3 linked regions of the Caenorhabditis elegans genome follow. The protein of the gene in region 1 purifies or fractionates together with the protein of each later gene. This does not show direct contact. Each region holds a gene or a part of one and is shown on either strand. Other genes may lie near its edges.

What was found.
Region 2: the proteins of F09E5.3 (region 1) and dhs-21 fractionate together in Caenorhabditis elegans (co-fractionation; one large-scale study listed by BioGRID). This does not show direct contact.
Region 3: the proteins of F09E5.3 (region 1) and acs-14 fractionate together in Caenorhabditis elegans (co-fractionation; one large-scale study listed by BioGRID). This does not show direct contact.

Annotation. Positions count from the first base shown.
Region 1 is NC_003280.10:5,372,030-5,375,665, reverse strand, and holds F09E5.3 (Putative deoxyribose-phosphate aldolase), read right to left. Parts: upstream 1,670-3,636; 5' UTR 1,663-1,669; coding exon 1,501-1,662; intron 1,441-1,500; coding exon 775-1,440; intron 729-774; coding exon 645-728; 3' UTR 501-644; downstream 1-500. Other genes in the region: algn-2 (Alpha-1,3/1,6-mannosyltransferase ALG2), read right to left, coding at 239-398; agt-2 (AlkylGuanine DNA alkylTransferase), read left to right, coding at 2,320-2,397, 2,453-2,582, 2,628-2,901, 2,954-3,174, 3,357-3,430, 3,482-3,529. UniProt on the Caenorhabditis elegans protein: Catalyzes a reversible aldol reaction between acetaldehyde and D-glyceraldehyde 3-phosphate to generate 2-deoxy-D-ribose 5-phosphate.
Region 2 is NC_003283.11:12,731,965-12,735,720, reverse strand, and holds the start of dhs-21 (L-xylulose reductase), read left to right. Parts: upstream 1-2,075; 5' UTR 2,076-2,159; coding exon 2,160-2,217; intron 2,218-3,050; coding exon 3,051-3,160; intron 3,161-3,211; coding exon 3,212-3,512; intron 3,513-3,557; coding exon 3,558-3,676; intron 3,677-3,721; coding exon 3,722-3,756. Other genes in the region: xbx-9 (XK-related protein), read right to left, coding at 1-295, 350-506, 768-915, 1,002-1,468. UniProt on the Caenorhabditis elegans protein: Catalyzes the NADPH-dependent reduction of L-xylulose, D-xylulose, L-(+) erythrulose, D-erythrose, D-threose, L-ribulose, 1,4-dibromo-2,3-butanedione and 2,3-heptanedione.
Region 3 is NC_003283.11:9,506,542-9,510,297, reverse strand, and holds the start of acs-14 (4-coumarate--CoA ligase), read right to left. Parts: upstream 2,167-3,756; 5' UTR 2,165-2,166; coding exon 1,955-2,164; intron 1,839-1,954; coding exon 1,727-1,838; intron 1,674-1,726; coding exon 1,346-1,673; intron 1,113-1,345; coding exon 917-1,112; intron 869-916; coding exon 590-868; intron 515-589; coding exon 127-514; intron 81-126; coding exon 1-80. Other genes in the region: haao-1 (3-hydroxyanthranilate 3,4-dioxygenase), read right to left, coding at 3,315-3,369, 3,415-3,500, 3,549-3,663, 3,715-3,756.

The sequences.
Region 1 (3,636 bases):
TTTTTCGATAAAAATATATTTATTTATGTGATATCTAAATATATCAACAAAACACGAATTTGGAAATTTTTTCAATTTTTTTTTTGCGAATTTTGAAAAATGAATGTTTTTATTGAAATTTTTGAGTTTTAAATATTTAAACAAATAACTTTTAACACAACTTTGTCGTGTCAAGACCAGTTACCGTATTTTTGGCACAAAAAAACGCGAAATTTTGCATTAAGGCAATACGACTCACCCAAATCTAGAGTTTCTTGGAAACAATGCGATCTACTATATTGATTCGTGAAAATCCGAACAGAGTGTCCTCGATCCTGTAATCCAACAGCAGCATCAACAATCAATCGTTCGGCTCCACCGATGCCTAGATCTGGATGGAGAATGGTTACCCGGACCATACTACCAAATTCAATATTTTAATTCTTGTATTCAATTTTTTTAAAATATGAGCATGGTAATATAAACATAATGTTATATAAACTTTTAATTTTTAGAAAATAAAACAATTTATTTATTCATTCCTTAAAATCTCTGTAAAACTCGGGGTGGCACAACCTATTGTAACATGGATGCTATGGCAATTCGAAAAAAAAAGTGAATAGGGAAAACCTTAACAAAAAAAAAAGATGATAACAAAAACTGATCTAAAGACCCTTCAGACAATCATCAAGAAGACTGCTAGCTCCGATGCGGAACAAGTGAGGATTGAGCCATTCGTCGCCGAGAATCTGAAAAATGAATTTTATAATTGTATTTAGAATAAGTAACACTCACATCTTTGACAAGAGCAACATAAGAGAGTGCTTCATCAACAGTTTTGATTCCTCCAGCTGGTTTGAATCCAACCTTCTTTCCAGTGAGCTCATGCCAACGCTTAATGGCAGTACACATAACGTAAGCAACTTCCAATGTGGCGTTCACAGATTCTTTTCCAGTTGAGGTCTTGATGAAATCGGATCCAGCGAGAATACTTGCCCAACTTGCTCTGTAGACGTTGCTCAAGGTTTTCAGCTCTCCAGTTGCCAAAATAGTCTTGAGATGAGCCGAGCCACAAGCCTTCTTGCATGCCAAAACCTCATCGTGAACAGTTTTCCAATCCTCGTCCAATGCTGATGCTCTGCTGATGACAATATCGATTTCAGTAGCTCCATCAGCAACAGAGAGCTCGACTTCAAGAACTTTGGATTTCAAATGATATTGTCCAGATGGAAATCCTCCGGCTACTGAAGTGATATTGGAGTTTAACTTCGAAGAAGCAAGGAATTTCTTGACATCGGCGATTCTTTGAGGATAGACGCAAACGGATCCACAATGAATTGATGGATCAGTTGGGACTGGATTGATTGCTCTTTTTGCCAATGCAACAACTTTGCTCGCAGTATCATCACCATTCAAGGTAGTTAGATCAATATATTGAATTACTTTGCGAATTTCGTCTTTCTGAAACAAGCATTTTAATAGAAACAAAGAAGAATTATGCTTATGAATTATTAATCTTACATTTCTCAAATTCTTCGCTTCTTGCTCGTATTTGCTGATGGCCTGAGCAATCTCCTGATTATCAAAATCGCGTCCAACTTCTCTTTCGAATGTGGCCACGTCGAAACGGCCCTTGTAAGTGTCACGAACGAATGAGAAGAGTGTTGGCACGATCGTCGCCATTTTGTGACTGAAAATTGAATATTTTTAGAACATTTTTCGAATAAAACGAGGAGTTGAAGAGGAATTATATAATTAAAAATAAAAATCGTGGCGCACCGAGCAAGATTGGTGCAAACACTAGAACGGAAAAGTGCACAACTTTTTTATCTTGGTGGGAAACAAGAAACAATTTTTTGTTGAAATAATAAATACTTCACAGCATTGAAACAATCAAAAAATAATAATTGTTTCAAATTAGAGAAAATAAGAATACTTTTTGTTCGCGAAAATGGCAAGAAAAATCGTGAGACCAAACCGATAAAATAATTTCTTCTTTATCGTTTTGTTCCAGTTGATAACAATTTTGATGATTGAGGCCATTCGATAAGTTATATGTGATCCGCTTATCATCTCAAAGGTCGTTTATTGAAAAAATAAGAATTATTTATAATATGCGCATTTATGAAAGTCACAAAATTACAATAAACCACTTTTAAAATCTTATTCTACACAAACCTACTGTAAAAGTTGTAGAGAAAACTGAAAGTTGAAGAGAGCATAGAGAAATAGAGATATACAACTGCTGACGTCTTTTCGGCACTCAGCTGACGCACTTTGCGCGCATCTTCGCAATAGATTTTCCGGATTTACTCTATTTTGGTAATACTGAATTCAAGTATGGCAAACGACGAAGAGTTCTTTATTGTTCGATGTCGAGGACCTTCAAGCTATCGTGAATCCGTCTATAAATACCTAGTAAGTTTTTTTTTGTATTTTTAGTTACGATAAATAAAATTCGCAATATTTTCAGACAGGACAACCATCTGATTGGAATCGAAATTCTGTGTTTTTGAGAAATATGCATGTCGGAAGAGCAAAAAATGTCAAAGAAATCTTCAATTGCATATTACAGACACAACCTCTTCCTGTTGTACAACCTTGTAAGATTTTTTTAAACAAAAATTTGTATTTGATTGATTTTTAAGGTCACCCAGTAAGACAACCACGCGAAAGCTTTTACTCATCTCATGAACATGATCCAATGGATGAAGTTTTACTACAAGAAGTGAAGGAAGAAGCTCATTCACTGGCTTTCAAAGGAATACCAATTGAAACCAAGGGTCCTACACCATCATCAACTATTATGAATCCTGAAGTTACGCTTAGAGACGTTCTGACGTTTCACAAAAATATTAAAAGAAGACCACAAGAGACAAAACCGGCAAAATTTGATTTCTCCGCAATGCCATCAACTTCTCGGTAAGTTTCGTGATTTTTTCAAATTTAAAATTCAAAGTAAAAAACTTTTCAGACTTCCACCTACATCTCCAAAACGCTACCGCCAGTTTGCACCTCCTCCAATCTCTATGAAACAGTCTCCCAAAATTTGTGCCAAAACTGTTTCGTGTCCGAGTACGTCCGAAGTAAAGAGCCCACCAAAAAAGATGATTATACAGAAGATACAGAAACATCAGGAAGCACCGAAACCAGCAAAAGTGCCAAAAATCAAAGGCGAAAAGAAGAAAAAAGATGGTGAGTTATTTTTAAAAAAATCGATAGATGTCTGATACAAAAGTGTCTATTGCACCATGTTATTCTAAAATTTTTCATTTGAAAATAACTATATTTTTACATTGTTTTTTGAAGAAAAATTCTGGAATGATATGGAAAAAATCGTATTCTTAGGTATCTGTTACTATAATAAACTTATTCAGGTCGACAAGATGAACAAGAAGAAATTGATATTGAGTTGAAACTCAGCAAATCTACAGTATCCAGTCAGACATTGGTAATAATGAAAATAACTTTTTAAAAATTAAAAAAAAAAGTAATCTTTTAGAAACGACACAACATCAGTTTCGAACGAAAACCACAAAGAGGAATTTGAATGGAAAAAAATGATTGATTCATTATTATATGTATAATTGTATCCTATTAAGTATTTGATCAAAGCTTTGATAAACATTTTGGCAATAAACTTATTGAGAATAAAAT
Region 2 (3,756 bases), on another chromosome or scaffold:
GGTGGACTCTTTTTCTCTCCGGTATCCATTAGCAATGGTTGATTTTGGGTTGCGATGAAGACCTTGTTCTGTGTGGCGGTTGGATTTCCAGTTGGGTGATGTTGACGACGAATCCATTGATCAATGGCAAATCTTGATGAAACGGTTAGGAAGAAGGCAACTAGCATGAACAGGCTCATGAACAAACGAACAGTGTCAAATGTCAGAAGTTGAATTGCCAGTGCAGTGTAGTATACAGTTTTTTCATCGTCCGAGTTCCAAAGGTATGGCGCGAAAAGTTCGGCGATTTTCACATCTGAAAAGAATACGATAAAACCAATTAAAATTCAATTCAGTTGCAAAAACTTACAAAACTCAAACCATTGAGGAATATTCATTACAATTACAGCAGCTGCTCCAAAACCAAGACGGCTACGTGCATCATCGACAACTGGATCACCAGTCAGAACTGCCATGTTTGTTCCGGCTGCTGGTTTTGGTTTGCACATTAATCCAACACACAAGCACTGGAAAACATTTTTGATTTTCTATATTTAAATTTCATTTGAAGGTGGAATTGTTGAATTACTGTCAATAGATATGTGTAGGGGTGTAGAAGTAAAGTGCAAAACAATTACACTGAAAACGATCTTTAAATAGGATCACACCACTTGTTGGCTTCGGTTAAATTTTCTACTATTCTTTGGATTTTTTCACACTTTGTTTAATACCTCACTAATGTATAACTGGGCACTGATGTCCACCTTTAGAGATCAAAAATAGATTACCACTAGAAGCTCGGCAATGATTCCCACTGTGCACAAAAGGTAGGTAAAAAACAGTGCAGAAGCAGGAAGTGGGTTCCATTGGGATGCGATGAAATGATATGAACCAGAGAGTATAGCAGCAAAGAAGAGCACAGCAAAGTAAGATGTCCTGGAAAATATCGGAGGCATCAACTATTCATTTAACAAAAAATGTTATTCAAGATTTTTGCTGTGTCATTCTAACCATTTTCTTACCATGAATCACAAGGATTAAAGTTTTGTCTTTTCCTTGCAATTACAATCAACGCCGAGAGAAAAATCACAGATCCAATGGATGTAGTGAGGACTGCTGTAGTGTAAAACCAGTTGAAGAACATCAGAAAAACCATGTACCACCATCCATAAGCTCCAAGCATGATACTGTAGATAGCCAGTGCAATCTTGAACAGAGATGACAGTCCAAGTGGAATGTAGACAATAGTCAGAAAGACCTTCGTGATATCACGCTTCATTTTCAAAGAAAGCAGAAAGAAAACTGCGATGATTGAAACTTCAATTGCGGAGAGTCCAGCTCCAATTGGTCCTCCGTAAAATGCTTTCTTTGTGTAGAGTTCATCAGGAAAATCACAGCTTATCTTCACTTTTTTCTTCACAGTTGTTGAATTACAAAAAAGAGTGGTAAGTAAAGGAAGACCCGGGACTGGGTCCATGTCCGTCGACATGGTTACACGATCTTTATATCACTTCAATAGTTGGGATTTTATTGAAGCTGAGATTGAGAATAAGAAATGTGGCGAGTTGAGTGGCTAGATTGAACAGGTGAAATGCCATGTTGCTATGGTTACTCGTCACGAAGTTTCAGCTGTTCTTGGACGCAGATCTTGTGATATTGAAATTGGTTGTTGATGTAAAAAAAATTAAGACGGAGACACTAACGAAGCTAGCCAAAACAAACTTTTTACGGAAGGTTGAGCTTAATGTTAAGTGGGACATATACGTTTGATGGTACCTGAAACTACCAGGAAAGTATGATATTTTGCAAGTCTTTGAACTTTTGGGATCATTTTTGCTCTTGAACTCATCCTCTAATATATATCATAAGCAGCAAAAACAAAGTACTCGATTTTGCTGCTTATGATATACTATTTTTTGAAACGAGCGTTTTAAAGAAAATTGTGTACATTGTTTCGGTGCTCAATAGTTTCATTGTTACATACTTTGCAAAATGAAAGGGTTTTCCCTGTCGATCTCGAAATAGAAACCATTATGACGATCATCAATACACAATTGGACGCAGATTGTTAGAGGAATGGCATTGATAACAAAAATAGTCACAATATAAAAGTTGATCGTGTTGGGTAGAATGGGGTAGATACTACACATTTTCTGATATTCATATCATCTGACGAAACAATGCCCGCCAATTACGATTTCACTGACAAACGTATACTTGTCACAGGAGCAAGTCAAGGTAAGTCTTGAGATGTTGAAAAAGTTAAGATGGGTTGTTTCAATACAAACCAAATACACTTGTTTTGGGTTCCATTTAACAAATATGAAATTGAGATAGCTCACTACAGGAAATAGACTTGATATTTAGACAGAAAGTTATGTTGAGATAAGTTTTTGTACCACTCGGAGTTGGTGCCAACTTATTGCCCAACTTTTGACCTATAGTTGAAAACTTCACGGAAAACGTCAAATCTCTTTTCCGACGATTGTTCTATGTTTTGAGTTTAGATATGTTTGCAAGGTTTGAATTGAAGTTGACCAGGTTTTCCCTGGTCTAGTATAAGTTTATTTGTAGTTTGAAGTAAGGAAATGTTAAAAATTATCTGCTCAATTAAAAAAAACCATTAAACATTTGGAGCCACTGAATCAGTTTTCTGAAATCTCATGAAGATTTGTACTTTTTAAGTTTTCAAAATGTTTAATCCATATTAATTTAACATTTCAAATTTAGGCCAATGTGATAAAAGACCGATGGTCTCTCTGATTACTTCCGGTGTAATTATGATCTAGTTCAAATGGAGAGGAAAACGTTGATATACGATAATATGATAACACTATAATCTTTAATCAAAAATTTGTTGTATCATCAACATTTTATCATTCCGTTTGAAAATTATAATTATTTTACGATTATGTTTGAGGAAATTTCTGGCATTGAAAACAAGAGTACATCCTTCCTAGTCGGTAAAAAATATATTACGCGAACAAAGCTAAAAATAGAATAAAAATCGTTCATGAAGACTTCCGATGGGGTGATTGTGAATCATACATCACAATTTATCACATTTGCAGGAATTGGAAAAGAAATCTGCCTTTCGTTGGCCAAAGCTGGAGCGCAGGTTATTGCATTCGCGAGAAATGAAGCAAATTTGTTGAGTCTTGTCAAAGAGACTACTTCTTTGGTAAGTGAAAATATAAAATATTACACCAATCTGATTAAATTAATATTTCAGAGATATACAATAATTCCAATTGTTGGAGATGTGAGTGCCAATGAAGAGGTCCTTTTCAAACTTATCGTACCACATTTCCCAATTCATGGTCTTGTAAATAATGCTGGAATTGCAACAAATCATGCAATTGGACAAATTACTCAACAATCAATTGATAGAACATTTGCAGTCAACGTAAGGGGACCTATTCTCATTGCACAATTAGTTGCTAGAAACTTTGTGGATAGACAAATCAAAGGATCAATTGTTAATATTTCATCACAAGCAGCCATTCGTCCATTGGATAATCACACTGTTTATTGTTAGTTTAAAACTTTACTGAAATAATGTACATCTGAAAGTTCAGGTGCATCAAAAGCTGCTCTTGATATGGTCACAAGATGTCTTGCAAATGAATTGGGATCCCAGAATATTCGAGTTAATAGTGTCAATCCAACTGTTGTGATGACTGATATGGGAAGAGATGTAATAATTTTCAAATTGAAAAGAGAGCATAATTAGACTTTTTAGAACTGGAGTGATCCTGATAAGAAGAAGAAGATGCT
Region 3 (3,756 bases), on another chromosome or scaffold:
AATCTTTCCAGCTGCGGACTTTGGAATTTCTTCAATAAATTCGACACCACCTTCGAGTTGTTTGTAAGGAGACACTTTTGCTGAAAGTATTATAGTTATACAGAAAATGCACTATTCATAACTTACGTTTAACAAAGTCCTTAACTTCTTGTTCAGTGAGAGTGTTATCAGCTCTTACAACAAATGCTTTAGGTAATTCTCCAGCTTTAGCATCTGGGATTCCAATAACTGCACAATCTCTAATCTTTGGATGAGATAGAAGAAGATCTTCAAGTTCAGCTGGTGGTACTTGAAGCCCTTTGACCTTGATTAGCTCTTTAAGTCGATCAACAATAAACAAATTTCCATCCTCATTGAGATAACCAATGTCTCCAGTGTGAAGCCATCCATCGATGACAGTGCTGGCTGTTGCTTCTGGTCTTCCGAGATACCCAAGCATAATTGTTGGACCACGAACACAAATTTCTCCTCGTTGGTTAACCGGTTGCTCTCTGTCGGTTCCTGGTTCCACAATCTGAATAACTTTTGTATAAATTGAATACTTTTGTTTCCTTTTAAACATTGAAAAACTTGATTCGGAAATTCTCACCTTCATAACCAAATTTGAAGCAAGTTTTCCAACGGATCCATATGGTTGATCATTTCTTAAATCAGGAAGATGACTAGCCATTGAACATTCCGTCATTCCATATCCTTGTTGGATGTATTTCAAATTTGTATACTTCCTCTTCAATTCTTCAATCAAATCCTTTCCAGCTGGAGCTGCTCCCGCCATTATCATTTGCACTGATGATAGATCAAACTTATCGCAAATTGGATGCTTGGCCAAGAAAACCATAATTGGTGGAACTAGGCAAAGACAGCGGACCTAAAGAATTAAATTAAAAATGTTATTTATGAACTTTTGATTCTATACTTTGTAGTTTTGAACGGCAGTCAAAAAATTATTCGGCTCAAAATGGCTCATGACAATTCCAGTCATTCCCTTGAGAAGACAGTGATTAAGAAGACCAAATCCATAGACATGATAGAATGGAAGAAACAAGAGAGCTTTCTCATTGTAGCAGTCCCAATTTGGATCAAGAACATCCAAAATGTGTGATTTATCAATTCTGAAAGTTGTGTCGTATATGAACCTAATTATATTTTCGTTTTTTTTCAATTACTTTTCAAAAAATGTACATAACGTTATACTGATTCTTCTGTATTGATCTATGAAATTGTTTTCTTGGCCCTTATCTTTTTTTGCGTCATAGGAAGGTTAAAGTGTAACCATTTTACTGTTAACTTTGTACTTTCACACCTATTCTGTCTCATCATCATCATCTTTAAATTTCAAACTTACGCAAGATACATGGAGATCATGGATGTAAAATTGTAGTGTGATAGCATAACACCCTTTGGTGGTCCAGTGGTACCACTCGAGTATGGAAGAACGAGTAAATCATTGTGAACATCAATTGGAACTTGTGGTAGAGCAGTGACTGGAGTTGAAACCACTTCATTCCAAGATACAACTCCTGCTGGAAGAGAAGATCCAACTGGTTTTGGGATGACAATGATCTTTTGGATGTTTGGCGATTGCTTCACAGCAAGAAGAACTTTTGGAAGAAAATCTTCGTAAGTAAAAACAACCTTTGCGCGAGAATCAACAAATTGACGTTGAAGCTCATCTGAAAACAGAAATTGCGGGTTGGTGAAAGTAACTTTCATCAATTTAACTTACAGTCAGTGAAAAGTGCACTAGCTCCAGATACAGCTCCACCGTTGATGGCACATCCAATGAAAAATGAAGTATAGTGCCAGACGTTTGGAAGAACAACAGCAGCAACATCTTTCTAAAAGATATCAAAAATTTAAGGCATTGTCTTGAACAAATTGAAAGATTTTTGAAATACTTCCTTTCTCTTGTTGAATTATAAAATTCCCAAATTTTTAACATAATGCCACATACCTTGAACCCAATGCTATGAAGATACATAGCGACAGCAAAAGCATCCTTACGAAGTTGTTCAAAAGTAATGAAATGTTTTGGATTATCTCCGCTCACAAATGCAATTTTATTCTTTCCATCGGCAATTGTTTTATCAATTGCATCAAGGAGCATCTCATGGTACGGACGCTCGGAAATCTTCACTGGTGGATATGTAGAGTCGTGTGGCATGGCTGAAGTTTGAAAAATAAATGAATTTAGCAATAACAATCAAAATATAAGAACTGGGCAAGAGGACAGCATGGGTAGCCTACAGTGTGGCCGAAGGTCAATTTAGAAAAAGATAGAGACTGATAAAGACGACAGTTGATAATAGTAAATAGGAAAACTACAGTGCTTAGACGTTATAATGTGGTCCATTTATTGTAGTCTTTGTTTTTTGGCAATTTATAACATTGATTCAACTGTTGAGGAAAAACCGTTAGAAAATTAAAAAAAAAACCACATGAGCGCGGGAAATACTTATCATTTCAGTTTCCGATGCTCATAATCCTAGACAATTTCAGTTAATACTCAATGAAGACAACGAAAGAAAAAGAATAAATGTACACAAAAAGGGCATATTAATGATAAGGGTTGCAAAACGAAAAATGGGCTATGAACAATAAAATAAAAGATCTGTAATCGTAATCAGATGTTTTTAAAGATCTGAAACTTGGATTGTACGTCATTGATCATATTAAAAAGATGCTCAAAACAAGGAAGTACTGGCCAAATTTCAACAATCAAAGTTCTCGTGACGATTTGACAGTAAAAAATGAGGTATTGTGAACATTTTCTAAATTATAGTTTTTTTCCAACCGAGAAGTTATTTTAAGTTATTATTTTCAATCTTCCCCATCAAATTTAAAAACAACCCCTTTGAAAATTACGGCTAAAAGGCATTTATTATTTTTCTGCTAAAAAATTTTCGGAATGAGTTAACGTTTTTTTTTCTAATGAAATAGAAATCATACTAAAAATAGTTATGTAAACTAACTACAAAACAAAAATTGGATTCTTTGTATTTTTAACCAATTTTACAGTTTTTACAGTGACATAATTTCCTGAAACGAACAACGAGGTCTGAAAGTACAAATTTTCTGAAGCTTTGAAGAACATGATGGTTTTGCTGAACCGACAGCGTGTGTTACACGAGACATTTGACATCGATGATAATGAAACGGAATTGATGTTATCAGTTGGCCACGATTGCATGTCATTCATTTTGTTATAAATCAAAATTGAAATTACATTTTGGAATAAAGATAGAAATATTGAAAAAAGCATTCATTCAATCAGCCTATATGGAAATTGACTTTTACAAAATTGAAAAAAAAAATTATGCTGGCATTCTGATGGTGATAGCAAATCCTCCTTTGACATTAAGAAGACACCTAAAACAAAATTATTTCAAAGAACCTATAATTCCGTATTCTTACTTTGTGTTCGGTTTTATCCTAACCATGGTCTCCGATTTCATTGCATAAGTGAACCCGCTCTCTTCTACGACCGCAAATGTGTTTTCCTAAATGATACATGAATTTTTTTTGGGATTTTTCTGTTTTTGCCATACCTGCAACCAAATTAGCAACTCTACAGTTCCACTTTCCAAATCATAAGATCCCTCTCCTAGCAACATAACTTCAGTTTTGTACTCAGGTGCTCCATAAATTCTCACTGGTCCGTTTCTGAAAACTTCTCAAATTAACTATCCGAAACAAAACCAACTAATTTCTTACTTCACTTCACTGATATGATCATAGATAAATTCTTTTCTATTA